4 linked regions of the Drosophila melanogaster genome follow. The protein of the gene in region 1 purifies or fractionates together with the protein of each later gene. This does not show direct contact. Each region holds a gene or a part of one and is shown in the gene's direction. Other genes may lie near its edges. The genes, in order: Ilp8, drl, Lgr3 and scb.

What was found.
Region 2: the proteins of Ilp8 (region 1) and drl purify together in Drosophila melanogaster (affinity purification with mass spectrometry, with the first as the bait; one study listed by BioGRID). This does not show direct contact.
Region 3: the proteins of Ilp8 (region 1) and Lgr3 purify together in Drosophila melanogaster (affinity purification with western blotting, with the first as the bait; one study listed by BioGRID). This does not show direct contact.
Region 4: the proteins of Ilp8 (region 1) and scb purify together in Drosophila melanogaster (affinity purification with mass spectrometry, with the first as the bait; one study listed by BioGRID). This does not show direct contact.

Annotation. Positions count from the first base shown.
Region 1 is NT_037436.4:17,028,641-17,034,852, reverse strand, and holds Ilp8 (Insulin-like peptide 8), read left to right. Parts: upstream 1-2,772; 5' UTR 2,773-2,955; coding exon 2,956-2,967; intron 2,968-3,945; coding exon 3,946-4,144; intron 4,145-4,568; coding exon 4,569-4,810; 3' UTR 4,811-5,041; downstream 5,042-6,212. Other genes in the region: CG7730 (uncharacterized protein), read right to left, coding at 5,262-5,874, 5,936-6,087, 6,146-6,212.
Region 2 is NT_033779.5:19,187,967-19,194,231, forward strand, and holds the start of drl (derailed), read left to right. Parts: upstream 1-2,375; 5' UTR 2,376-2,762; coding exon 2,763-2,868; intron 2,869-6,265. Other genes in the region: pigeon, read left to right, coding at 1-276, 333-565, 625-839, 910-1,134, 1,480-1,619. UniProt on the Drosophila melanogaster protein: Probable coreceptor of Wnt proteins. Involved in neuronal pathway recognition and ventral muscle attachment site selection. Non-vital for development. May be part of a signal transduction cascade involved in learning and possibly memory.
Region 3 is NT_033777.3:25,663,230-25,669,347, forward strand, and holds the start of Lgr3 (Leucine-rich repeat-containing G protein-coupled receptor 3), read left to right. Parts: upstream 1-2,579; 5' UTR 2,580-2,760; intron 2,761-3,583; 5' UTR 3,584-3,925; coding exon 3,926-4,013; intron 4,014-5,963; coding exon 5,964-6,118. Other genes in the region: RASSF8 (Ras association domain family member 8), read left to right, coding at 1-641, 709-1,019, 1,081-1,426.
Region 4 is NT_033778.4:15,245,819-15,252,387, forward strand, and holds the start of scb (scab), read left to right. Parts: upstream 1-2,965; 5' UTR 2,966-3,477; coding exon 3,478-3,665; intron 3,666-6,569. UniProt on the Drosophila melanogaster protein: Integrin alpha-PS3/beta-PS is a receptor for laminin. Also binds to wb. Important during embryogenesis for the development of the trachea, dorsal vessel and salivary gland, as well as for dorsal closure. Required for short-term memory processes.

The DNA of each region.
Region 1 (6,212 bases):
TTTATATGTTTAAATTCAAAGACATAAGATTAAAACCCTGCCAAGACAAAAGAGTATTTTTTGGCCATGTGCTATTCGGAACCCCCGAAATAAGAGTTTCTAATTTGAAATGCGATCCCAGCAAGGCAATCGCAGAGTTTTTTGAACCCAGGGCAAAAGAATAACCCTCCGGCAGGCCGAAAGAATTGGCTGCGGAAGATGATGAGGATAGGGAAGGATGGGGATGGTGATTGGGATGGCAAAGGTGAACGACAAAGCCGCCGGCAAAGTCAGACACCGGAGATGACGTGACGCACCACTTTCGCCCTCAGTTCAAGGAACACATCTCGGGCATCAAAACAAAAACACTAGCTCACACGCTCTGCCAGCGGTCCTGCCAGTGTCCCTTGTCCATCCGCCCATGGTCCGATGCGATCTTCCCAGAAGACGGAGCGACATTCCCAGCTCTTTTCTTGTTGCCAAGGAAAGGACCCACCAGATATGTGTACCAATGCTCGTCTAGACTGCACGAATATCAGATCGTCGATGGACCGGCGATTCTATTAGAAGCAGAACCTGTTTGCGGTTCATACTCCGTTGGGTTCTGTTGTATTTCGGCTGTTTTTTTTTTCTTTTCTTTCTGCCCAATTTTTTTTGTTTTTTTTTTCTTTGATAATGAGTCGTGAATTTGATGCCCAGGTAGGGGCATTCGACGGAGATCGTTGACATGGCGCAAGTGGCGCGATTCTTTAGATCAGGTTGTGAAATTGTATTTATGAATGAGAGTGCCCGTGGCGAACCAATTAATGCCGCATACCAGCAAGAGTTCCACCGAACCACAACGGCCAGCGCACACATTCCGAACCCAAGTCGGTGTTCCCAGAACGTGCCCGTTACCGTTATGCGTTGCCGATCGGATCGACGAGCGCGAGAATGCACATTCCGAAGGATACGTGCGAAATGCGGGAGAAAATGCAACTGCGCAGCAGCATTGCGCATACGCCACGAGGGCCGGCTAACATTTCCGCATGCGGGAATGCAACGAAAGCGAAAAGCAAGTGGCAAAAAAAAAGAAAACAGCATAACCAAAACGAATGTGGAAACGAAACCGAAACCAAATCCGAACCGAATCGGAATCGGAATCAGAAACGTAACAATCTGAACCCATAAAAAGTCGGCCGAAAGTGTGCATTGACCGAGAGAGCGGCTAAAAATATCCGAAAAAGAACGTAACACAAACGATCTGATAAAATAAGAACGCACGATGATGACGCCCGATCCAGAACAACCGTTAAGTGCTCCACCCCAAATGATGCTGCAACAGGGTGAGCGAAAGAGAGGGCGAGCCCGATACCGAAAGAGACAGAGGCAGAGCCGAACAGAAACGACAGTGAAAGTTCTACACTTTCGCTTTTTCACAGAACCCTGCTATCATACGAAAAGCAGCAATCGTAGAGATAGAAACCTTTGGAAATACAATACATAGTACATCAGCAAATGTGCGGTAACTTTATATATTATTTCTATATAAATCTGAATGTTTAACAACAATTTCGCTGGCCTTCCATTTTTTATTCACAACATAATACAATTTTTTTTTTTTAATGAATTCATTTTTTTAGACTTTGAACGAAATGCCCCCTATATGAACATTAAACTTTACTGTTTATTGGTTTCTGCAACCAGTTTTTTAAGAATGTTATGTTATCATTTAATTTCAGGTTGAATAAAACACCATGAGGTCCATTGGAATATTATTCAATGCAAAAATTTCTTAAGCTTTCAAATGTCTTAGCTTTCCATTGCTCAACGAACCTGTCATTCTAGACTCTTTACTTATAGTAAACAGTAGTACTTTGCCACTGAAAAAGATGGTAAAGGCATTTGGATCATTTTTTAGCATGCTAAATGATGAGTGAGTCTGGTACAAAGTATGATTTAACAAATGATTACCGCATTAAAGCTAATCACTGTTGTTTTTCTCGACTTTCAATGGGAAACGCCAGTCAACAATTTCAATTTTACAGTTCTTCAAATTCTACACACAATATTTGAATGGTTTTATGGGTCTGTTCAACTTGTTTATGGATCCACATAAATAAGCAATCATATTAGAGAAGCATGCACGGCTATCAAGAAGTGCGTTGCCCTGGTTGGAAAAGCCCCGGCAACAAGGTCCAAGTTTTCACTTTCACTGCCACCATCGGCCGTCAAATCACCAGTAGCTATTACTACCTTATTACATTGCCAAGGTGCGCTGATAAGAGTGTTTTTAGACTGTTCCAGCTAACAGTATTCGCCTCGGCTTTATCAAGAGCAGCAGCAAGTCCAGCAGCATGTGACTGTGACTCAGTGAGTCCGCCGAGTCCATTTATGTTGAAATTCGTTTAAGATCGAAACGGCGGCGCCATGAAACTATAAATGCCAACTCTTCTGGTCTGACGTCCGTTCCGAGGCCCATTGATAAAAAAAAATGTATATTTCTGAATGCTCGGCGCGCCCTGCCGCTTACGCAAAACTCCTGCGAGCGGATCCCGATCCCCAAAAAGCCGAGACCGAACCCCATAACCCATACCCCATACTCCATACCCGAAACCGAAACCGAAGAATTACAAATCCCGAAATCTGCTCTCTCTCTCTCTCTCTCTCTCACCCCCATCGCCCATTCCCATTGAAAAGTGAAGAGCGGCTGTCTGAGCGGCAAACTGAGCCGATCCGAAGCGCCGATCCTCGATTTTTGAGGCGCGTATAAAAGCTTGGCTACGTCGGCAACGAAAGCTCATTGTGCGCTCGCCGCTCGTGATTATCAGGTAACGTCGATCGGACGGACGGGTTAACCATTCAGCAAGTTAGCTCTGCAGCAAGTTTGCCCGCCAAAAGAAAACACGTATACGTAGTGTTGCAGCCAGAAAGGTGATCGACGTGCCTACTGATCTATTGATCTATTGAGAATTGTGATCCTAGAACGCCACTAAAATGAGTTCAAAGGTGAGTTCGAGTTGAAGTTAAACTCTTATTTTTGTTTTTTAACTATTACACTAGCATAACTAATTCGTGTAGCTCTTTAGCATTATAGTTGGTTAGTTGCTCAGCACCAAAGCATTAAACATCAAACATTCAGTTCTCAGAATGATTTCATACACCAAATTATGCATTCCTTGAAATCATTGTACTGAACTTAAACATTTCCAGTACAAGGTGGACTTTTCCAAATTGAGTCCAGAAATTTTCCAAACAAATAACTGTCTTCTAAGAACACTCCACTTTAATTACTTAAATTAGCTTCGCGCCACAAAAAAAGTGGGTGTGTGCAATTAACAGGCTGTCAGCTAAAAATATCAATATCCAATATAAACAAATGCGCTTTTGTTCTCCGCGGGCAAGAGCATAATGCCCGCATCGATTCCGAATCGGATTCATATGGCGGACTGGAGTGCTAAACAGACTGGAGTGTCACCGCAAGGTGCGATATACGAAATGCGAAATGCAAAATGCGGAAATGCCTACCTGCGGGGCGCATTACATAATTTCCACTTCAGCTCCAGATCGCCGTAATGTCGGGGAAGTTTCGGTCATTAAAAGCGGCAATTAAAATTCACCATTTGGCCGCGTCGACTTGCAAATGCGCTCCAGTTTATGTTTCGATCTTGATGCGATATTGACCCAGTTAATGGGCGGCATACTCCGGTGCGTGGGAGTCGGCGACGTCATCCAGACATCCCGGCATCCCGACACCCGGCTGTCGTCATCCGAAGTGGTTAATCCAGATGTGTCCAGAGCGGCGATCCAGATTCACATTGAAATGCCAAAGCAGGGCAGAGTGCAGCCGGTTAGAGGATCGTTGTAACACTTATGCGATAAATTCTGAACGTCAGCGATTTATAATTAGGAGCCGGAGGCCGGTTGGGTGTTTAATTTGGAATATACTCATACTCACTTGTTGTTTCGCCCGCTCCTCCATTGCAGTTGCATATGTGCCGCTGGATGCTGCTGGTCATCGGAGTCTGTTGCCTGATGGGCAGCTCGTCGGGCAGCTTCTGCTCCCTGGAGCGGATGAAGAAGTTCGCGATGGAGGCGTGCGAGCACCTCTTTCAGGCGGACGAGGGTGCCCGCCGCGACAGAAGGTCCATCGAGTTCGCGCACCACCATCTGAATCGACTTGGATGTAAGTATCTAGATCTAGATCTTAGATTTTAGAGCATAGTGTGGCACTAGGAAAAAAAATGTTTAAAAATATTTCGGATAAATTTAAAGATCAAATTATTATAATGCTTCGTTATGACTTTACCATTTTTAAATTTTGTTTCCAACTATAATACTTACGTTTTAAAATCTCAATTAAACAATATCCACTGAACATCGATAAGGAAAAGATTAAAATATTGGATTAGCGAGCTAATAAGGTCAGAGTGTCAGTCAACCCGACAATTGCATTCGGAACTGCATATCGAAAACACGTTTTTTTTTAAGTGTGTAGATTGCAATTAATACGGCATTTGCATAAAGCAGTTCCGATGCAAAAGTTAACCGACTTCAAGGCGCAGGTTCAAGATCAATTTGCTCACTGGCAACGTTTTCCCCCTTTTCAGCCGGCAAAACGCACAACAAGCATCACTACATCAGCCGAAGCAGCTATCCAATGGGTGGCTACCTGAAGGTGACCCGGGAGCACTTCAATCGCCTCAGCGAACTGGACATCTTTCCGCGCTACAAGCCCATCAAGCCGCACCACGAAAAGAAGCATCGCTTCAAGAGGGATCACTCGAGCAGGTCCTACAACAACATTCCCTACTGCTGTCTAAACCAGTGCGAGGAGGAGTTCTTCTGCTAAGAGAGCTCCAGTGTCATGCTCCATGCCCCACGCTCCAAGTCGGTGCCATCTGGTCAGAATCTTCTGAATCCGTCCATAGTTATAGTTAGGCTATTCATGTACATTCTACAAGTCGCGCTCACTCTTATAGAGTACCTTATTTGTGCCCACTCCCAGGGACACAGATCCATTTACAGTATTTATACACTTAGATCGATTTTGAATAAACAATCGAATACGGCAACTGATCGGAATTAAAGTGTTTTTTATAAAAATTGGTGGACAGTTAAAACTAAACAAACATTCAGAGAATTTAACAGCATATTAGGTTTAGAAGACGCATATAAAGGCTTAAAAGATTATTACAATCCTAGTACAAATGAGTCACGATGGCTAACAAATCTTTGTTGTATCACAATCTATTAATCACTAAATCACTTAATAAACCGACAGCTCGAACCATGGAATCAGCTTATATGGAACTAATATAGTAGGCGCCTTTGCAAACGTTGCATTTGTACTTGCGGCAGTTTTGTTCGCCAACTGGCTCCAGTGATCGAAAGTACTTGGATACCACCATCAAAATATCCTCACGTTGTCTCTGAAGGAAATCTTCGCCGAAGTCATCAAAGGTTTTAACGCAATGCATTAGAATGCGATAGAGGACCGCTTCAGTTGATACGAACGTATTCAGCGAGCGATCAATGTAATCCACGTTCTCCTCTACGAATGTGCGGGTCATCTGCATTAGAAGCTGTACAGCCTGATCGCTGAAGTATCTGGCCATGGCCTCCAAAACGTCCGTAAAGCTAGCCAGATTGCCGATATGCTCAACGAATTTTCCGCCGAACTTCTGTGCGAGCATGTCCATATTGATCACCATCTGCCCGCCAATGCCGTAACTCAGTATTTGGGGCAATAAAGTGGTGGCCACTGTAAGTCCCTGACTTAGGTGTGAGTTCATATTGTGAAGACTGAGGAGTACCTCCTTAAAAGGGATTTCGTTGAGGGTTCTCACAATATCAAATTGACCAGATTCATTGTGCAGCTTAACTGTTTCCTGGGAGATTCGATCAAAGATTTTTCTGTTGATACAAAAATGATGAAGAATACTATATATGTGACTGCCAGGAGGTATTGACTTGCCTGGATTGATTTCGAAGTGCTCGCCTCAAGGAAGACCCGTTGGTAGCCTTGGAAGCGATGCGCATATTGTTGATGGAATGAGTGAATATCACAAGGTGCGAGGCCATCTTCAGCATGTCCAAGCTGTTTATGGCTTGGTCATCTCCATGTTTCTGAGGAGGTCGAAACGAAGTTATAAAATTAATGTCTTTTTTAAAGGATCCAACTTACCGAATATAAATCGTAAACACCATTCGCTACACCCGTTCCGGCGATGACCATTGAGGCACCATTTATC
Region 2 (6,265 bases), on another chromosome or scaffold:
ATCTGGACTCGCTTATGGGACCTTCTCAACGAGTCAGCCAAGCAGGAGCAGCCTAGATTCAGTGCTGAGCAGGTGACGGAGAAGTTGATCTTTAGTTTGGCCTGCTACCAGCCGGAGGCTCTGTCCAGATGCACCACGCCACTTTCGCCAGACACGGGCACCGGTGGATTTGGTGACTATAGTAGCGGAAGTGCTTTTCCATTCAGCAACGAAGTGCTGCCCTTTATCGAACTGGAGGGATGCACAGCCAGCAAGCAGGAGCACGTCATTTCTGTGGTGAGTTGCTGCGTAATCTTGAGGTAACATTTTTATTAAAGCTACGAAATTTACAGTATCTGCGCGAGCTGAGCGTTCACCTGGTGAAGCACACGTCAAAGCCCAACACTGGCTTCCGCTGGCTGAAGGAGACCTTTTTCGAGCGCTCCCAGGCTCCAGCTCATGTGCATGCGGTGGCCTCCCAGTTCGTTTCCGCGCAGCTTGAACTCTCGCGGGCTCTTTGCTCTCTGGTTTGTCGTGCTGCAGGCCTAGATGCGCGCATGGAGACCTCGAGGGGTTTTCAGTTGATGTGAGTTGGTGATGATTTCAAATGTGATCACTTTTCACTCACGTCTGTAATGATTGCAGTGACCAAATGGCTGCCAATCAACAGCACTCTCTGTTTCTAATCCTCGAGCGCTATTGCCTGGCTGTGGAATCGATTGCGTTTCCCCTGCCCGAGGGTTTCTCCTCGTTCTTCACCTACTTGGGCTATCGTGCGCTGGGCTATGATATGTTTCTGCAGTATGTGGAAAATCATGTGTTCGAACTGCAAGTGGATGTGATGAAGGCCATTGTTTTCGGTTTGTAACAAATATATATACTTGTTTTCATATACTGTTCATTTCATTATTGCTTAATGTATTCCTTCAGATATTGAAGATTCTCCACTGGGCATTGAGCGGAAGCTATCACTTTTGTCTGCTCTGCCCAAGCAGCGTGCTCAAAGGTTACTCAAATGCTGGCAGCATCCGGACAGCCTTATGATCCGCGGACGCGAGCATGCGGCCAACATTCTGTCGGGTCAGCAGCAGGAGGTGTTGCACCAGCAGCGACCCACGGCCTGCGTGAATCAATCGCGAAATAATGCGCGGAGCGGTAAGATCTTGCTTGGTTAGCCCGCCATAAACACGTTAACTTTTCATTTGTACACTCTTCACCCGAACACATCTCGTCCAGCTTTGGGCAAGCCCAACACTGTTGTTTGTCACTCGCTGCTTTTGGTTTTTCTGCTTTTCATTCTAACCACGGTCGTCCTGAGCATATCGAGCTATGCGTTCAGGCAGCGCCCTCTCATCTGGTAGAAAACATTCCCATCGCTGACCGGTAAGAAACGCTGTTCAGTGTTCGCCAGTCGTTGTCCCATTTGCACATTTTGTTTCTTGTTATCTAACTTAACCATAGCCACCTCTCTAATGACCAATTTGGTTGGTATTCTTGCAGATCTAACTGCCGAAGCCCTTTCGCCACTGGACTCCTTTCTGGACCTGCTGACTGCGAAGGCCAGTCTAAACGAATTGGACTACAATCTGCTTATTGAAACTACTCTAAGCTCCATCGATCAGCTGAAACTGGAGGCTTGAATTTAATGTTAAGAGTAACTAATGAAGTATTGTGTCAAATTATCAAGTACTTAGCCAAGGCCAGTTTGCAAATATTCCAAAGATTTGATTTGTCAAATGTATTAGTTAAGATTCTTCTCGTGCAGCTTTGATTTTTGTTAGGGTTCTTCTGTGTGCTTTTAGTATTAATTTTCTGTTCCTATTATTTGTGTAACGACTGATACACATTCCAAGTCTGTAATTATAAATTATTTATGTTGTTAATTGATGTACCTAAAATCATGTACGTATTTATATATTCTGTACTTATTTATTTTATGCTTCTGCAAGCTTCTGTCTCTCTTTCTGTAATAAACTAACGATTTATAAAGTATAAAATGTCGTAATGTTTATTTTTGGCAACATGAGTTTAATTCGAAATTGAATCAAACACAATAAAAAAAAGTTAAAAGGTTAAAATCATTATATTACATCATTAATTCGAATTCATTTGGGAAGTTTGTGGGTCTATTTTTTAAACTTTATATGAATGTTTGTTTAGTTAATTTAATAAAGGATATCGAACAGTATGCCAGTTTTGGTATTTAGCCAATTGGAGATGTTCGATGAGATGTTCGAACTGCAACCGAGTTCGAGGTTCCAACACGACTGTTATACGGGTTCCAGCCTTCAAGTTCTACAGAACAAGTCCACGAGCGCCACACACAGTCCACAGTCCACACTCCACTCCGCTCGGCGTGGAAGCCATTCGCTTCGTGGCGAAGTGTTTGTTTATCCAGTTGACAGTTTGTGGAAAATCGTCACGGTGAGCGGATCAAACGCGGAAAACGAACGCGGACGAACGGCGAGAAAAGCGAGGAAAAACGGGTGCAGAGACAGAGACTGATTGGGAAATATGTGCGCCTGAGTTTTCCCGGCCAGAAGGCAAAGTGCCAAATGCTCTGACAAATAATTCCTGTAATAATCAGCGCGATTGAAATCAACGCGACGCTCGTAAAATTGCAAATGCAGCGCAAAAAGTGAACAGCAGTGCAGCGGAAATTAAATCGTTTTAGCGAGTGCCAAACGGGAAATAGAAAATCGGCAGAGTAGCCGAACTGCAGTTAAAACTATCTCTTCCTCTTATTGCGACTAAACAACCGGCGGATTAATCGAATCCGAAAGATGGCCCCCAACTTGCTAACAATCGGATTACTTTTGACCCTGATCGCCAGCGGTCAGGCCCATCTCAATATTTTCCTCAACTTGCACGAGGTGCTGCGCCTAATCGGTAAGTAATCGTGTTGATTTTCGCCTGCCTTTTGGCTTTTCAATTAACTGGGCAATTATTTGCCACTTTGTGTGCGTTCGTTCGACTTTAAATCAAATTTGATTTATGCCAAGCCGGGATTTTGTCTCCTGGGCAAACGAATGCGACTTGCTGGGATTATTTACTCTTTTTGCGTAAATAATATATGCCTTTTAATTGTTTCTAGCCTCGGAGCTACATATAAAGTAGTATTGTCCCTCCTTCAATTGGCCAGCTCACCGAGAAACAAGAAAACATTCTATTTGTCTAGCATGATTTCCTGTTTCTTTGATTTAATTGTTCGTTAGACTTATCTAGATAAATAGAAATGCTAAAGCGATTTAAATTTGTATTTCTTTGCGTTAAATTAAATTCGATTGGCAAGTGGATTCATCTCTAGATAAGTAATCCCTCTATAATCAAAGTTTTTATTTAAAAAATCATATTTTTTCATAGTTTATCCAATTTAAAACAATACAAAACAATTTTAGATATATTTTATAAACGTCTTCAAAAGAAAATAAATAGTAAAATCATGTAGTCAAAAAATGACACCAAAATGAGTATTTAAATATTTAGTTTAGTTTAGTTTATATTATTTATTTAGCCTAACTATTTTCCATAGAAGAATACTACTCTAATAAGCTTAAAAATCCGAGTGACTGATTCTTAGCCCTTATCAAAACAGATTTGTTTATCTCCATCTAATAACCAGGTTTCCACTTGGCCAAGCAAATCGGCTTGGGATAGCTCGAGTCCGCAGCCCAAGTACCTTTAATCTACTTTTATATTTATACCTCGCCCCGATCCCCATCCCCAACCTCGTCTTCTTGGACCCAAGCCATTCCCCGCCAGAAAGAAACACACACAAATCCTGTCGAAGAGATTGCCAAGCTAATAAAAGTGGGGAAAATTGTTTTACAATGTGTCACAGGGCCCAGACAAAGAATTTACAACCCAGTGAATATAAAAAATAAATCAGTAGCCTCAATCCATGGGCCAAAAGGAAAGGGTGAAGCGGCCCAAGTTGTGCCACATCCATGTGGCATCATAAAACACATGCAAAGTGTTTGTTTTGTAGGCAGTGTGTTCTGTGGATCGGGGGCGCAGGGAGCTGTATAGCTGATAGGGAAAAATTATCAAAAATTATGTTGTAAAATTTACAACACTCGCGTGTTTGTGCCTCCGGCTGATTGATGGGCGTCAGGAGTTTCGGAGTGCGGAGTGCGGAGTATGTAGGTACGCAGATTGCATCGCGTCACTTGTGAATAACTGGGTAAATATTTGAACTGCAGTGCCGGGCTGCTAATCAGGCGCTTATCTAGCCGCTTATCAGCGTCTGCCACTCGTCGTAATTCATGTTTGATTGCAGTTCTGGCCCCCGAGTCCTGGCTGCTCCACTACACACCTCGCAATCAGTTGAAAGCGCCAGCAGACAATCAATCAAAGGCGATACGGCAAGTGGGTGGGATGGTTTGCTATGGGATGGATGGCCAGTTGAGGCTTTCCACTTGACATGGCAGCGGAAAATTTATTAGTTGTGTCAGCCGAGTGTCAAACGAAATCAGCATTAAAACCCATTAAGCGGTGGCCGCTATTCATTTTTCGCCCGATTCCCGACTCCTCCAATTGCACTTTCCCCAGAGGGTTTTTGGTTTTTGGTTTTGGGCTTTCGGGATTGGGTGGCGATACCCTCTCCAATTATTCAGCGCTGACAGCGGGTTGCATGCCTGACCTACTTTCCGAGACTTCACTGTGTGTGTGTTCGCAACGCCTGGCTAGGTGTCACTCTATTTTATTTTATTTCACTTTATTTTTTTAGCGGTCGCTTCAAAAGCCTTTGTGTGAGTGCACATCAATTAAATTGTCAACCCAGGAGCAGAGTGAAGGAGAATCGCCCAAAGAAGAGCTCCATGCACTTGCATGCAGCTGCGGCATGGCATTCACTGTTCGTTAGGCTAACATCCATACCCGAACACATACCCATAGCACACATGTTCCATCCCATGGCCCACCCACTTCTCCATCCAGAAGTGCGCCCCAAATTGCTGTGCTCTATGCTATGCAAACCATGTCAGGTGTGGATCAAGCCGGGCGGCGGTGGCGAGGGTCTTCTTGGTTCGGTGGCTCTGTGGCCCAGCTCGTTAGCGAAATGAGCGGATATGTAAAGTCGGTGCAGTTGATGGATTTTGCGGTTGCAATGAGTGACCAAAGTTGTCGGCGTTGGGTGTGGATAGTCAAGGGTAACACGTTATCTAAAGGGAACTACCATTATTCCATCTTAGGACACTGATCTCCCAGGCTTTGTGGCACCCCACTGTTAATGGCAAGGAAAGCAATTAAATTCATATAGCCAGAACCTATAACATCCTATAACATTCGGAAAACTTTTCCCCCGCCACACACTTGGCTCAATGGGGCTTTTAACTTTGCCCAACTTTGTAGCCCTGCCAGCTGTCTGAGCAGATCCCTCCCTAATCCATGTAACCCATGGATGTTGCCAGTCACGTTTCGGGTCTGTCTATCAACACTTGCTAATCTCAACCCCATCCCAACTCTCTAAATGGTTTGACACTTTCAACTGGCGCGGGTCGAAGGATTCATCATCTCGAAATGAACATGATTTGCCGGCGAACAATGGCGATTGTTGCCAACTCACGTTTGGCTAATAAAAGCAAGAGCATTTGCCCCCAAACGCAACATATTTCGGCAAGTAATGTGAACTCAATTAGGGCGCAGCAGCATCATCGCCATCATCTGCATCCCAGGATTTGGCCCAGAAGTTGTAGTGAAATCTCTGGCGTGCGTGGCCAAAAATATTTCACCCTCGGAATAATTAATGCTGCAGTTGGAAGCGAAGGCATTAGATCTGCCCGAGCGTGCGGCATGTGTTGCCAACTTGCCACGCCAACACAAACAAGCGGTTGCCCCTGCCACCTGTCTCCTGTCTACACGGCGAAAAACATTTACTCAGTACATCAATTACACTTGTACTTACTTATTATGTTTGTGATTTAAAATCACTCTTGAGTGCAACGAGTACACAATGATACTTTTATCTAGAGAGTTTTTGATACTCTTTTGCTACTTTTGGAATTTTCGCTGCGTGTAGCGATCCATTCAGTTGCCAGGTTGTTATGTCTGGCTTCATGCAGAGTTAAACGCGTAATTGGCAAATGAACAACGCGGACAGAGACAGGCGGCAGAAATGTCGATGCAACAGTGACAAGGACGACGACATCAGATGCTGCAGCAACAGCAACATCAATCGATGCAACAGCAGCAACTGCAGCAACTTCTGTGCCAACAGTATGTGCAACTTTTCGCTGGTCGGGAGGAATTTTATGCTTTCATTCGAAATTATATAAATCATATAGGA
Region 3 (6,118 bases), on another chromosome or scaffold:
CGGCCATGGGAGCACCGGCGAGTCCACCACAGGAGCAGCTGACACCGCAGGATAACAATAATGTAGCACCACTGGTGCCAAAGCATGAGAAATCGCTGTCCAATCCGCTGGACATGACCAGCACGGGTAGCAATCCACCCGCACCTACAAATGGCTACAATGACTTCTACAACAATAACAGCAGCAGTAATCAGCATATATACAGCCAGCTGAGCAAATCCAGCAATGAACTCCGACGCTCCAGTCCCAACGAAATGTACTACAACAATAATAACAATATTGTTAATAACAATAACAACTCACCGGAGCTGTACAAGCAAACGCCGACGATTTCCGCGAATGGAGCTCTAGTCCCACCACCATATCGTGACCCGCCACCCCCGAGAAACAGCCCCATGTGCCAGGGGCAGCGTTTGGCCAGCAGCAATGCGGACACCATGTCCAATGCCTCCTCCTCGACGAATCCGTTTCTCAGCGACTACGATCAGCATAGCAGCCACAACACTAATAGCATCAACAATAATAGCCAGGCCATGGAGGAGGGTGAGCCCATGTTCCAGACCACGCAGTATAACGATTTGCTGCAGCTCATCAAGTTTCAGCGGGAGAAGATCACAGCCCAGCAAATGGAATTGCAAAAGGTACAAATATTCAAGTTTCTAAATTGATTTGGAATGTTATTATTTTATTTTTGTTTTATCTGCTTAGTTCGATACGGAAATAGTTTATTTGGAGAGCAAAGAACGCGACCACGCCCACGAGTTGGATGCTATTTCGCGTGAGATTTCCAAGGCGGATCAAATCTTTCGGCAAGGAAGCGAACAGCTCCAGACTCTGCAGTATGTGGAAGAGGAAAACGAATTGGTCAAGCAGCAAGAGAAGACTTTGAAATCAGAAATAGCTCTACTGCGATCCAAGCTGGCCAATTGCGAAACAGAGCTGCTACAATGCAAGAACAAAATGCGCTTGCTGATGGATGACATTGAGCTGGAGCAGCAACATCAACAGCAGACCAATAGGTGAGTGCATAGCAATTTACTTGCTTTGTTTTAAGTTTTTCACACTTCTTGGTTGTTTCAGGCAAACTGTGGAGCGAGACTTCTTGATGGAAATGGAGCGCATTCAGAGTGAAATCGACCAGGCTCTGCACAACACTGACACTTCAAACAAAACTGCAGATAGTTTAAAGAAGGAACTACTCATGATCGAGCATGCCATCGCGGACAAGAAGCGGCAGGTGGAGCAGCTGGTCAACGAGATGAAGGAGGTGAATTTGCAGAGCCTGACTGTGACCACCACGGAGGAGATCAAGCATCTATTGGAAGGACCCAACAAGCAGGGCAGCAGCCGGCGGATCATCGGTTCGCCCAGGCAACTTGAAACGGCGGTTCCAACCAGTAAAAATCCTCATGGTGTGTGGGTTTAAGTCACACATACCCAGAACTATTTTTCTAAACGTATTTCTCCTCCAACAAAATAATGTTTTTGGGAACAAATTGATCAACATATCTTGAATGCATAATGGAGTTGAAACGAAATGGATTCCTTATGAATATCACAATTTTAAACAATATTCTAAAAATATTTACAATAATTAACGTGCTTGATTGTTGTTTTAGTATGTTTACATTCCAATCACACTCTATGGATCTCTCAATGCAATGATATATGTTACAAATTTGAAATCACAATCGTTTTATTACTCTACATTCCGCACTGTACTTTGTATTTAATAGTAGTTAATGAGTCCCATATTCACATGCCCTAATCTTAATTTTGTGTGCTATACTTTTGGTTAATTTTTGCTGCTAGTCTACGTGTTAACAAAAACCCTTTCCAATCTCTACAATTCGCCATTAGTTGTTAACTTGACAATGAATTTTAATTGTTGCAATAATTCGAGAGTATCGTAATTTAAAAACGCCTTTCTAACGAATAAGTAGTGCCCTTAGTGATTTGTCTCCTACAGAATTATTCATTGTAGAATTCACAATTCGAATTACACAAAACTTATTGTACTTAGCAATTAGCGCAGCTTTAAAAAAACAAATTAGCAATGCTTTGTTGAAAAGTTTAACTTTTAAAGTGCTTAGCCTTAGCCACCGGATATCGAAACAAAAGACCGAAGCATTAACAATTGCAAAGGTATCAAGCATTAGTACATACATAATTGCTAGCGTACAATTAAAAGACAACCCACAAGTCGCTTTGATGTATTATGTTTTTAATTAGCAATATTTAATATTTACACAAACTGATGATGATAGTGAACTACAAAACACCAACGGAAATGCAATTTATCGAATATTATATATTACTATTACATTTAAACTAAAAACGATTTAGAACAAATTGTAATTGCATTACATCTAATTAGCTAATAAATACATTTTTATGATTTTCTCGAAACGAACTGTCTGTATTTACATTTGGTTTTGGTCTTTTGAAACACCACGAATTTTCCGCAAATGAAATCAACGGTCAGCCCGAAGTCCTGTGCCACACGAAGCTAGCTGCTCGGCCGCTTTTCTTGTGCGGAGGGAAAAACAAAATCAGCAACACATGCTGCCACCAGCTTCAGTTGGCCGCTGTGCTCGAACGCGTTTGGTCCTTTTGTCCTTGTCGATATCCTTCGCTCGCGACTCAGACTTCCTGGCGAAGCGCGCGCTACTTTCAATTTTCAAAAAGTGTCGCCCAGTGAACGGGTCAGTGAAAGTGGCCCGTAGGAAATAAAGAGGCAAAGGAGCATACATTTGAATGGTCCGTTTTTGGGGGCATCCTATCGCATTGACACAATCGACAAAGTGGTCGAGGGAGAGCGTTAAAGTGGCCCGCCAGCAAAAAGGACGAAGGAGCGCTCCGTTTTTATGGCCCTCTTCCACACCAAATGATGTTCAATTGCGATGATTGCGATAATGAGAGTCCCAGTTTCTCTGTTTTGGGGATCATGCATCGCCGAGACAATGTGACCTTTTGCGGAAATTATGATTTGTCTCCGGCTGACCTTGAGCCCCCCCGCTGGGCGATGTAACCCCCCCCCCCCCTTGCCGCCGACTCAATTAAGCTAAATTTAATCAGCCGGACAAGAAATGCTTCGGAAAAGGACCCTCTAATGCCGGTCACATATTGCACTTCCATTTCGTAGTACATTTGGCAAACCTATAACCTTGAGTTTGGCTTAATGTCTTGCATAAATTGGGGAACCAAGTGGCTGCTTAAAAATAGAACCATTCCGACTGGAGCCAACTAAAATTATTCATTTCGATTTGCTAGACTCAGCGGGGCGAACAAGTATAGCCAATCTTTATGACTTCCTTTTAACTTATATCTTGGTTTTTTCTTGCATCACAAATTTTAGTTATTATAGCAGCTTTCAGACGCGTGAAATAATACTTTTAATAAATTTATATCCCCAATAACTTTAAGCCGTCTGTGAAACTTAAGCCCGACGTCTGTCAAAATGGCGCTTTATGCATATATTTTTTATGGACACCAAATCAATTTTATCCAGCGCTGAAATCGAAACCCCACCAAGTGGAAAGCACTTGCCATCCGAAATATTAATTTTGAACTCCCGCTCCAGCTCCCAATCCTCCTTCCGCTTCATCAGCTGTGTAATCCTGGCACTTAAAACTCTTCTCCGCGAGCTGTGAACATTAGCCAAATGAAGTGACAAGAAATTAACGCAAAAATAAAACAAGAAGACGGAGCGGTATAAGAAATAATAATATAAAAACTCAATGAGTCAGCACCGCATCAGCTCCTGCTGCTGTTGTTCTTCTTATTGCTGTTGTTTGTGGGGGCGTGGCCGGAGTGGGAATTGAGTGCTCCTAATGATGAACTCGGTCAAGGAGCCAGTGCAGCCATGGTGGCCAAGTAATTAGATAAGCGAGCGTGCAAAACAGGAGCAAACCGATAAATCGCCATGGTCTACGGCAGGAGCATCGCCGTAGGCTTCTGTCTGATGACCGTCGTCCTTCTGCTGGCCGCCGTGATATTCTACTTGAGTTTGGGTGAGTCCTTAGAGTGATGTCCTTTCAAAATTCCATCATTCGCAAACCTAAATAATTTCTGAATCAAGAATGTTCAAAATCTTAGCAATTATTATACGCATAATTTGTGAAACTACTTAAAGTTCTTTTAAAACTTGAGCTGCTGTAAATTTCTATATATACTTTCGTATCCTTAAAGGGTTCCTTCGCTTGAAGCAAAAACCAAAATCAAATTCCAAACTGCAAAATGGCCATAAATTTTATACTCAAAAGTATTTGAAAGTAATTTGTTGTATAATACGATAAAAATAAGGCAACAAGAAACAAAAAACGGGGCGCAAAAAACAACAAACGGCTGACCATAAAAAAATAAATACGAGTACGGCGCAAACTTTGTCTTGAGCGCAAAACAATTTTCGCACATCCATCGATGGATCCATGGAAGTATGGGTATAAATATATATTTCTGGGCCTTTGGTCCTGAATGTTTTGCTTCCTCGTTCGAGGCTTTTATCTTGTTTTACGAGTATCAATATCGAGAAATTCGCACAGCTATATTTTTTATGCCAATTTGCGTATTGATTTGCCATGCCACATCTATGGAATATGGGCGAAACATGTTTGATTTATGCCCTTTTGTCGCCTCGGATTCCGAGTACATGCATCACGACAAATTATTTATCTGCCAGATACAATTTGTCCTGGCTTAGGTTTAAATCAGCCACGGAGCAGGAAGTTTAAAGAGGAAAGAGCCAGGATTTGTGTGTGAACATGTGGCCTTGTCATGGACACAATGAAATTGAAAGTCTCGCCTAATGCACAATGCTTTTGTGTGTGAATCAGTGCTTCCTAATGAAGTTACACATACAAATATGTATGTATGTATGTGAAAAAGGATATGAGGAAATAAATTTGTGCAGCTTGATGTGAATCATATGGCTATTATCTTGAACGAAATGCATTTTGGCTTAAAGCTTAACGAATGAAAGATTAATTTCAATTCACTTTAAATGCAGATATCAAATCGAATGCACTATAGCTTATGTCTAATTAAAAGCATTCACATTGAAATATCTTTATTTACACAGTGCCATGGCAATCGTGCAAAAGGGTAAAGTTATTATGAGATAAATGAGCCAGCAACCCAAAGAACATGTTTCTGACGCAATCCGTGCAATCGGATTAAAAGCTCCTCAAGGTGCTCCACTTCCAGTTTTATTTGCTCATTTGTCTAACGAACTATGTTCCATAATCTAGTAATTTGAATTGCTCAATTTTCGGAAGGACTCTCAACGCATGGTACCCAAACAAATCGTAAAAATGATAAAATGCAAAACAAGAATGTCATTTCGTTTTACGACAATTACCCAAAAAAAAAAGTTGTAGGCATTCAGGCAGAAAAAGTCTCGGTATAAATTAAGGCCAAGAGTAAGAAAATTCAATTGTTAAAACTTAGCTCAACTTTTGAAGTGAAATTAGCTGCAATAGCACATTAATTTATTTAAGCCAATCATTTCGATGTCCATGTACTTGATTTAAACGCTCGAAAAAGCATATTGCTAACAAAGCAAACCTCTCAAAAATCAATGTCAACTTTGCACATTAAGTTTAATTGCCATGTGTTGACAAAAATGCTAACAATAAACTGATATAAGTTTTTGGGTGGAGGTTATGACAATTAAGTTGTCAATTGTAGCTTAAAGTTTTCTTGTCAGAGATTAAAGTAATTACTCATACGCAGTGTGGGCTAGGAAATTATAAAAGGTACAAACAAAAGATATTAAAATGTTTCAAAGACACAAATGTTTGCTTGATGGCTAACAGCTCTAGGAAATATATATTTTGGTTAAAATCATCACTAGATTTTGTTTTGATTTCCCCCAAAATGCTGTTGAGAAACTAGTTGAACTCACATGCAATATGCTCCGCTGTCCTTGAGTGATAATTAATTTGGGATCGTCCTTTTCCCAGGACCCTGCCCCGCGGCCAGCTTCGCCTGCGACAACGGCACGCTGTGCGTTCCAAGGCGCCAGATGTGCGACAGTCGGAACGATTGCGCCGACAGCAGCGACGAGAATCCGGTGGAGTGCGGTCTCCTCTACGGCAGCAAGGAGATTGCCGACAAG
Region 4 (6,569 bases), on another chromosome or scaffold:
CGAGATTGCCTTTCGGCTGGCCCTGAGCCAAAAACAAAGGAACCCCATCAAAACGGTTCAATTACATGCCATAGGGTAGCATCCAGTTGCTGAAGTGCACGCAAATATCTCACATTACACACTTGACATATATTTCGGTAGGGCATACGAGAAGAAATGGAGATAGAGTTCGTGTTTGAGATACAAGTACATTTCCAACCGGAAGGAAAGCAGAATGATATTGCTTTATGACTCTATCGAAAGCGAAAGTGTTTCACTGCTGTCTTTTTTCGCACGAAAGCCTGAATTATGTGGGCGTCGTCTGCCACTCAATCGGCCTCCGATATTTAGGCCAGCAGATCAATTACGGACTGGTATTTTTATGACACCTATTCAACCTGTCGCCGGCGCTCGAAATTTTGAAAGGGTTGGCTGGTCATTAGTTTTACGACTGTCTCTTATAATAATTTCTGCGCTTCTCTCGAAGGATCTATTTCCATAGCCACTAATGTGCAATAAGTTCATTCTCTGCCTCTGCCTGGAAATAATATTTTTACTGAGCTCAAACAAACCCCTCTACCATTATATATGTATATAAATTGGTGACGTCATAGGAAGGTGAACACCTGCATTGATTCACGGACGTGTTTAGTTTTTTTTTACACTTCCTTTTGACATTTATGCCTGCCCAGAAAGTCCAAATAAGGCGCCGCTTTGCGCCTCAAGCTCACGTCGACGATTCGATAAATATCCATTAGCACTTAGAGAAAAACTGGACATTTTACCACTTAAGAAATCGACATATAATATAATAGGTGCAATACAGAATTTTTAGAATAACAAAAACTCAAATTATGACTAGCTATACTTTGAGTATGAACCAACACTTTTTTTTTAGTGCAGTTTGCACCGGCACCGCTGTTGTTGCTGACTTGTGACTCCGATTCAACCATTATATACACAACTCGCTGATAAGTGTCCGCCGCTAACAATAGTCACAAACTTCCGCCAAGTGTAACGACAGATTGCAACTGGGAGTTCTATACGGATCCATTTCAAGGGCAGCTCCCCCATTTGATGCACATCGTAGCTCCGGAACATTTCAATTTGCACCCTGTTTCGTGCTTTTGTTGCCGCTACTGGTTGCATCTGGAGACTGGGATGTGCGCCAGAAATAGCTGCCCCCGATAGCGGAGGATGGGGGGTCATGAACTTCAATTATGTGCCTGGCAGTGTGGCGTGGCACCTCCCCCTTCTGCAGTTGCGGCCGTGTTGCTGCTGCTGTTGCAGCAATCGCTGTTGTTGCTGCTGGCGTGCAGTAACACATAATTGCTGTCAAATCGCCTGGCGGGCGCTTAATTGCGCATTTCAATAGCGGCCTGGTCCAAAAAAACACTTGCTATGCGGCGTTGGAAAACCGAATTAGCCGCCCTTTTGAACTTCTTTTGTTTACCCGAATGAATCGCTGGCAAACATTCAACTTTCGAACTTTTAAAGAGAATTTTATTTATGAATCGTATTGGGAGCATTCGACTTGTGAATTGAGTTTTATGGCGCGTAATCGGCTGTTGTAGTTTCGCTTATCGGTGGAAACGACTTGCCAGACCTCAGACCCCACTTTTGTTTTATTAGTTTTTATTGTTTTACATTGACTTGATAAACGGCGGGCTCAGGCTGCGTTGAAAATGAAAATCAATTACTGGGCGCACAAACAGCCAGCGATCTAAGCGCGGTTTTCCAACTTATCAGCTTGAGGCAACCGATAGCTGGAGGAAAAGTCAACTAGAGTACACCCCTGTCGATCTAATTGAACCCCTGAACCACTGAACCCCCCGTGCTGGGCACAATTTCATGTCACCGGATCGTAAAGTTAATAAATTGTGGTCACCACCACCCAACCTACCCCAATGATAAACGTTGAACGGATAAGGCAGCACGAGGGGCATATACTACTTTATACTTACAATAAATATTTGCCCTGGGGCCCGCTGATAAGCCATTTGATCACCATGCCACGGCAGCCAAGTTCAATGACAGCAGTACGCCGTTCAATTCGGGTGGCCATTTGCCTGGGAATCGTGATCGGCATCCTTTATGTCCGCCATATGCTCTCCGTTTCCACTGGCACTCATCCACATCCCGAAAAGGAATCACTCGGAGAAAATATTTTAAAATACGAATGTAGATTATTTAAAAGTAGAACTAAATAAAGAATAAACATTACTTATCTTTTAAGTATAATACATAAGAAATAAATTAGGAATAAGTGCAATAACTACGAACTAACAAGTACATTTCCATAAAAACAATTTCCTTTCTCTCAGTGTGCAGATCTTGATGAGCCTTAAAACATTGTAAATATTAATTATAACCAAATCTACCAGATGATGAGGAACAAATAAGCTGGCCTGTTTCCATATATATAAAGTCGGGATTCCTTCAATGAGTATTAATAAGAAAATACGGCTCCCAGTTGGAACTCCATGGTGACAGGCGTTTGCTTTTTTACCCACTTACTTGTACTCTCGCACTTGGGTGTGCGTTTATTTGTGTGTGTGCGTTCGTTTGTGTGTGTGCGAGGGTGCAGCAAACGCGTAGGGGGAGTGTAAATGCAAGTAGCGTGCGAACAAGGAGAGCCACCACCACAAATGGTCGCAATCGAATTGAGAATGCACTGACAAAAACCGGTACTAGATATACCATAGTATTGTTAAACAAAATCAAGTGTAGGTATAAAATATAAAGCACTAATAGACTATATATAGATAGTTCTTATAACAATATATTAGATACTAAAAAAATATATTTGAAAACCTTAAAGTTTTATTGTTATTATCAATGATCATCAGAAATCTCAGCGCAACCATGTTTGTAAACACACACTACAGCAGGTCAGAACATCTCTTTCGACCATCGTGTTGGGTGGACACATCGGCCAGCAGAATCGACGGTCGTCCAAGTCTGCTGCAGCACTTGAATTCATTTCATTTCGGTTCGGGTCGTCGAAGAGTGAAAACGTCCAGCACTGATCTGTTGCCCCGTTTATGGACTAGCGTTGCGGAAATAAAACACCATATATGCTATAGGCTATATGCTATATGCTATTTATTAGCTATTAGCTACACATCAGTGCAGAGATACGGCGCGGTCGAGTAGTGCGATTAACAACGACTTGTCGCCGGCAAAAGTGACAAGAGCCAAAACAAGTTTGCCACCTAGATCTCGCGAGAGATTTGCGAAAGCCGCCGGCTGGGCTTAATTAAATTAATATAATTTCGAGAGAACGCCGCCGCCATACAGCAGCGATCTCGAGTGTGTGAGTGCTTCAATTAAATTCAATAAATCATAAATAAGTGAGTGCCAACGGATCCTGTTTCAGTGGTGTGGCTCTCTGGCGCAATTGTGATTTATTGCCCTCAGAAGAGCCGGGGTCCATTCAAGTGAAATTACCAAAATTACGAAATTACGAATGCGAAAACTTAATTTTGATGAGTTCCAATGAATGCTGAATCGACAATGTTCCCTCACATATTCCTCGCCCTCTTGGCTCTGATCTCTCACATCGAAGCATTCAATTTTATGCCGCGACCCAGTCGGGTGATAAACTCCCCGAAGCATCTGAAGTTCCACATAAACCAGACTCGCAGCTCCTACTTTGGATACACGCTTGTCATCCGCCAGACCAGGTGAGTTACCTATTTTCCAGCTGTAGATCGCGGCAAATATTTGCATACATACGTGTAAGGGTCTGGAGGGAGATTCTTCCATACTTCGAAAACATACTTATTTCGATAACCGATCAACATATTTCTTATGTTTGACGCAAGACAAGCGAGTGCTTTCAGTTGCAAGCCAACACACCTCTGTCAATATTTTGAAACTTCTGGCATACGGAAATGGAAACTGAAGCTTGCGAAAGGGGATCGACAGAAGTCGAGGCTCGACAAAATTAGTATCGGCTTGGGTGGTTTATTGGCACTTAACACTCGGTCGCTCTATTTGCCAAGAAATTAAAATGTCATTTTCGCCAAGTCGTAAATGGGTGCTCAGCATAGGTTGTTCGAGTTTTGGGACAGAACTCTCATGGCATGTCGAAAACCCCAGCTTGAAAACCTCTCGAAAGCAATACCACTTCAGACCGAATTTTCTAAAAATAACAAAAAAAAAAAGAAACTGTCTACTTCAACTACAATTGCCACAGATCCGAGAGATCGCAACTCCGTCTCGAACAATTGACAAACCCGAACAATTTTCAGTGAGTCGGGCGACCTACATATCATATGGCGGCTACTTTTGTTGGTTTGCGGGCCCCAAAAAATGACATCACACACCTCAGTCGGCGCCACAAATCACAGTTAATTGAATAAGAAGAAAGTGGTCAGATCGAAGCTCAGATACGCTTTTTAAGATATTCTCGAGATATCTACTCTGTATTCTCTCTTAAACGAAAAAGAGAGATGATAGTTCATGCTTTGTAATTTATGTTAGAGTAGTTGAGGTTATGTATTTGCCAAAATTCAGGCCACAGCTTAGATACAAGAACTACTTGGTCAGTACAACCTTATCTGGTTTTAATTGAGGCGATCAGTAAACCTGGTTTGAATGCAGTACTCGTACGCGATCATAACGAGCTAGCTTTTGACCATATTTTATTTCCATAAACCTGGATGGGTAATTTGGAACTTCCTCTACAGTTCCCGCTCTTCCCCCCCCCCCTACATTTTTTTGTATTACCAGCACTTTGGATCCCAAAATACCCATGACTCTTGGCTATTACGAAGTGCGCCTAATTATGTACGGAAATTGCGCGTAAAATCACGACAAGCCGTAATTTATATCACATCAATTGAAGTTAGCTGAAACAAACAAAAAGTGTAGTTCTTGTTTACGGTCTCCCAATGAAATTAGGGCTGAATTCGAATCCAATGCGGGGGAAGTGCATCCACTCACAGTTTCCCAACACCACTTGCATTCTGGCGAAATGAGTCACAAATGTTTCCAATCCGATTTGGAGGCGATGGCGTCTGCAGACCTGCCCCCATCCGCATCCCCGCCCTCCGAAGAGTTCGTCCGTTCAGCTGACACCACACACAAATATTTTTAGCCGTCTTACGCTGGGTCATTAAACCGAATTCCTTATAACAAAAACAAAAAAAAAACACTGAAGACTCCACAACGGAAAACGGTGCAGCATGGTGGCTTTTGTTCTTAACATTTGATGACCGCACGCTGCAGCGGTTCTTTGTTTTTGTTTGGCTGATGGAGATGGCGCTGGAGATTTGTGTGGTCCGCAAGATGTTTTATTGTCCGCGCACAAAAACGGATAAACGTTCCTTGTTCGGCATTTAAACAAAGCGCCATCGCACCAAAAGCGTACTTTTACAAACGAAATTATACTATTTAAAAGAAATTTCACATTTCAATTATGTTAGCATGCTGTTGTATGCCATACAACTATTTTTTAGAAGACAATTTGCAAAGATATATAAAGTTGCAATATATTTTAAAATACTTTAAGTTAGTTTATTTTTTTAATAACTAATAGGTTATAATTGTAAGGTGACTGTTTTGTGAAACAGATGGTGAAAAAAATATAGTTCTTCAAAAAGTCATTCAAATCTTCCTAAAATAAATTAAGTTAACAGTTGTAATACAATTTATTAAGTTTCTGTTTAATTTCTGCTCACACTGAATTGACCACCGCTGTAGTTATGCACAAAGGCCATGGAAAAAGTTGGGGCTTGGGGGCAGATGCGTGTGCAGACATGGTTTACTTGGCCATGACTCATGTTTTGGGAAAATACGTAAGCGACAACCCATACTTTGTATTACAGCTGAGATACGCCGAACGTTCAGTCCAAAACAAATGTTGGCTGACTGTTTTTAGGCCTCACACCACTTTATATTCAGCATAAACAATTTCTGGATCAGGTAGCCAAAGTGGCATGTGCTTGTTATTCGCCTATTTAAATATGTTGACTCTTTTTTTGAGACTGTCGTTTTTTTTTTCTCGCATGCAATTAAGCTCCAACCATTTGACTCGCGCCGAGATGCGGATAAAGTTACGCCTGAAATCAGGCCGGGAAATAAGTGCATGCATGGTGACTCATCCGACTGACTAAGCCACCGACTCGAACGGGGGAAAACTTGTATAGATAAGTAAATCAAAAAGTCAATCGAGGTGAAACTAAGGCTAGAGAATTATGAAATGTATTATGTATTCGTATTTTGCCAATAACAAAGGTGTCATCCATAGTTTACTTTTACTGACTGTTTTAACAAAGAAATCAATACATTTTTTGAACTGTCTAATCTCAAATTGAACCTCATATCCTGTGAAGTGGGTTTGAAATGAGTCAGTCAATGCAGCTGATTAAAAACGATTGTTTGCTTCACATTATATGTGCAATCTTACTGGCGTTTTCATAAAAAAATGCAGTAAGTTAGTTTCCTTGGTTTGAATTATTATTCGAAGTTTCGATAAAAAATGAAATCAGTTAAATTTAAAAAGTGCAAAGGTTGCAGTGTTAGAGCTGGAAAAATAAATTCTTTTACAGTTAAGACTTATCTTACATTTTCCGCTCCATCTT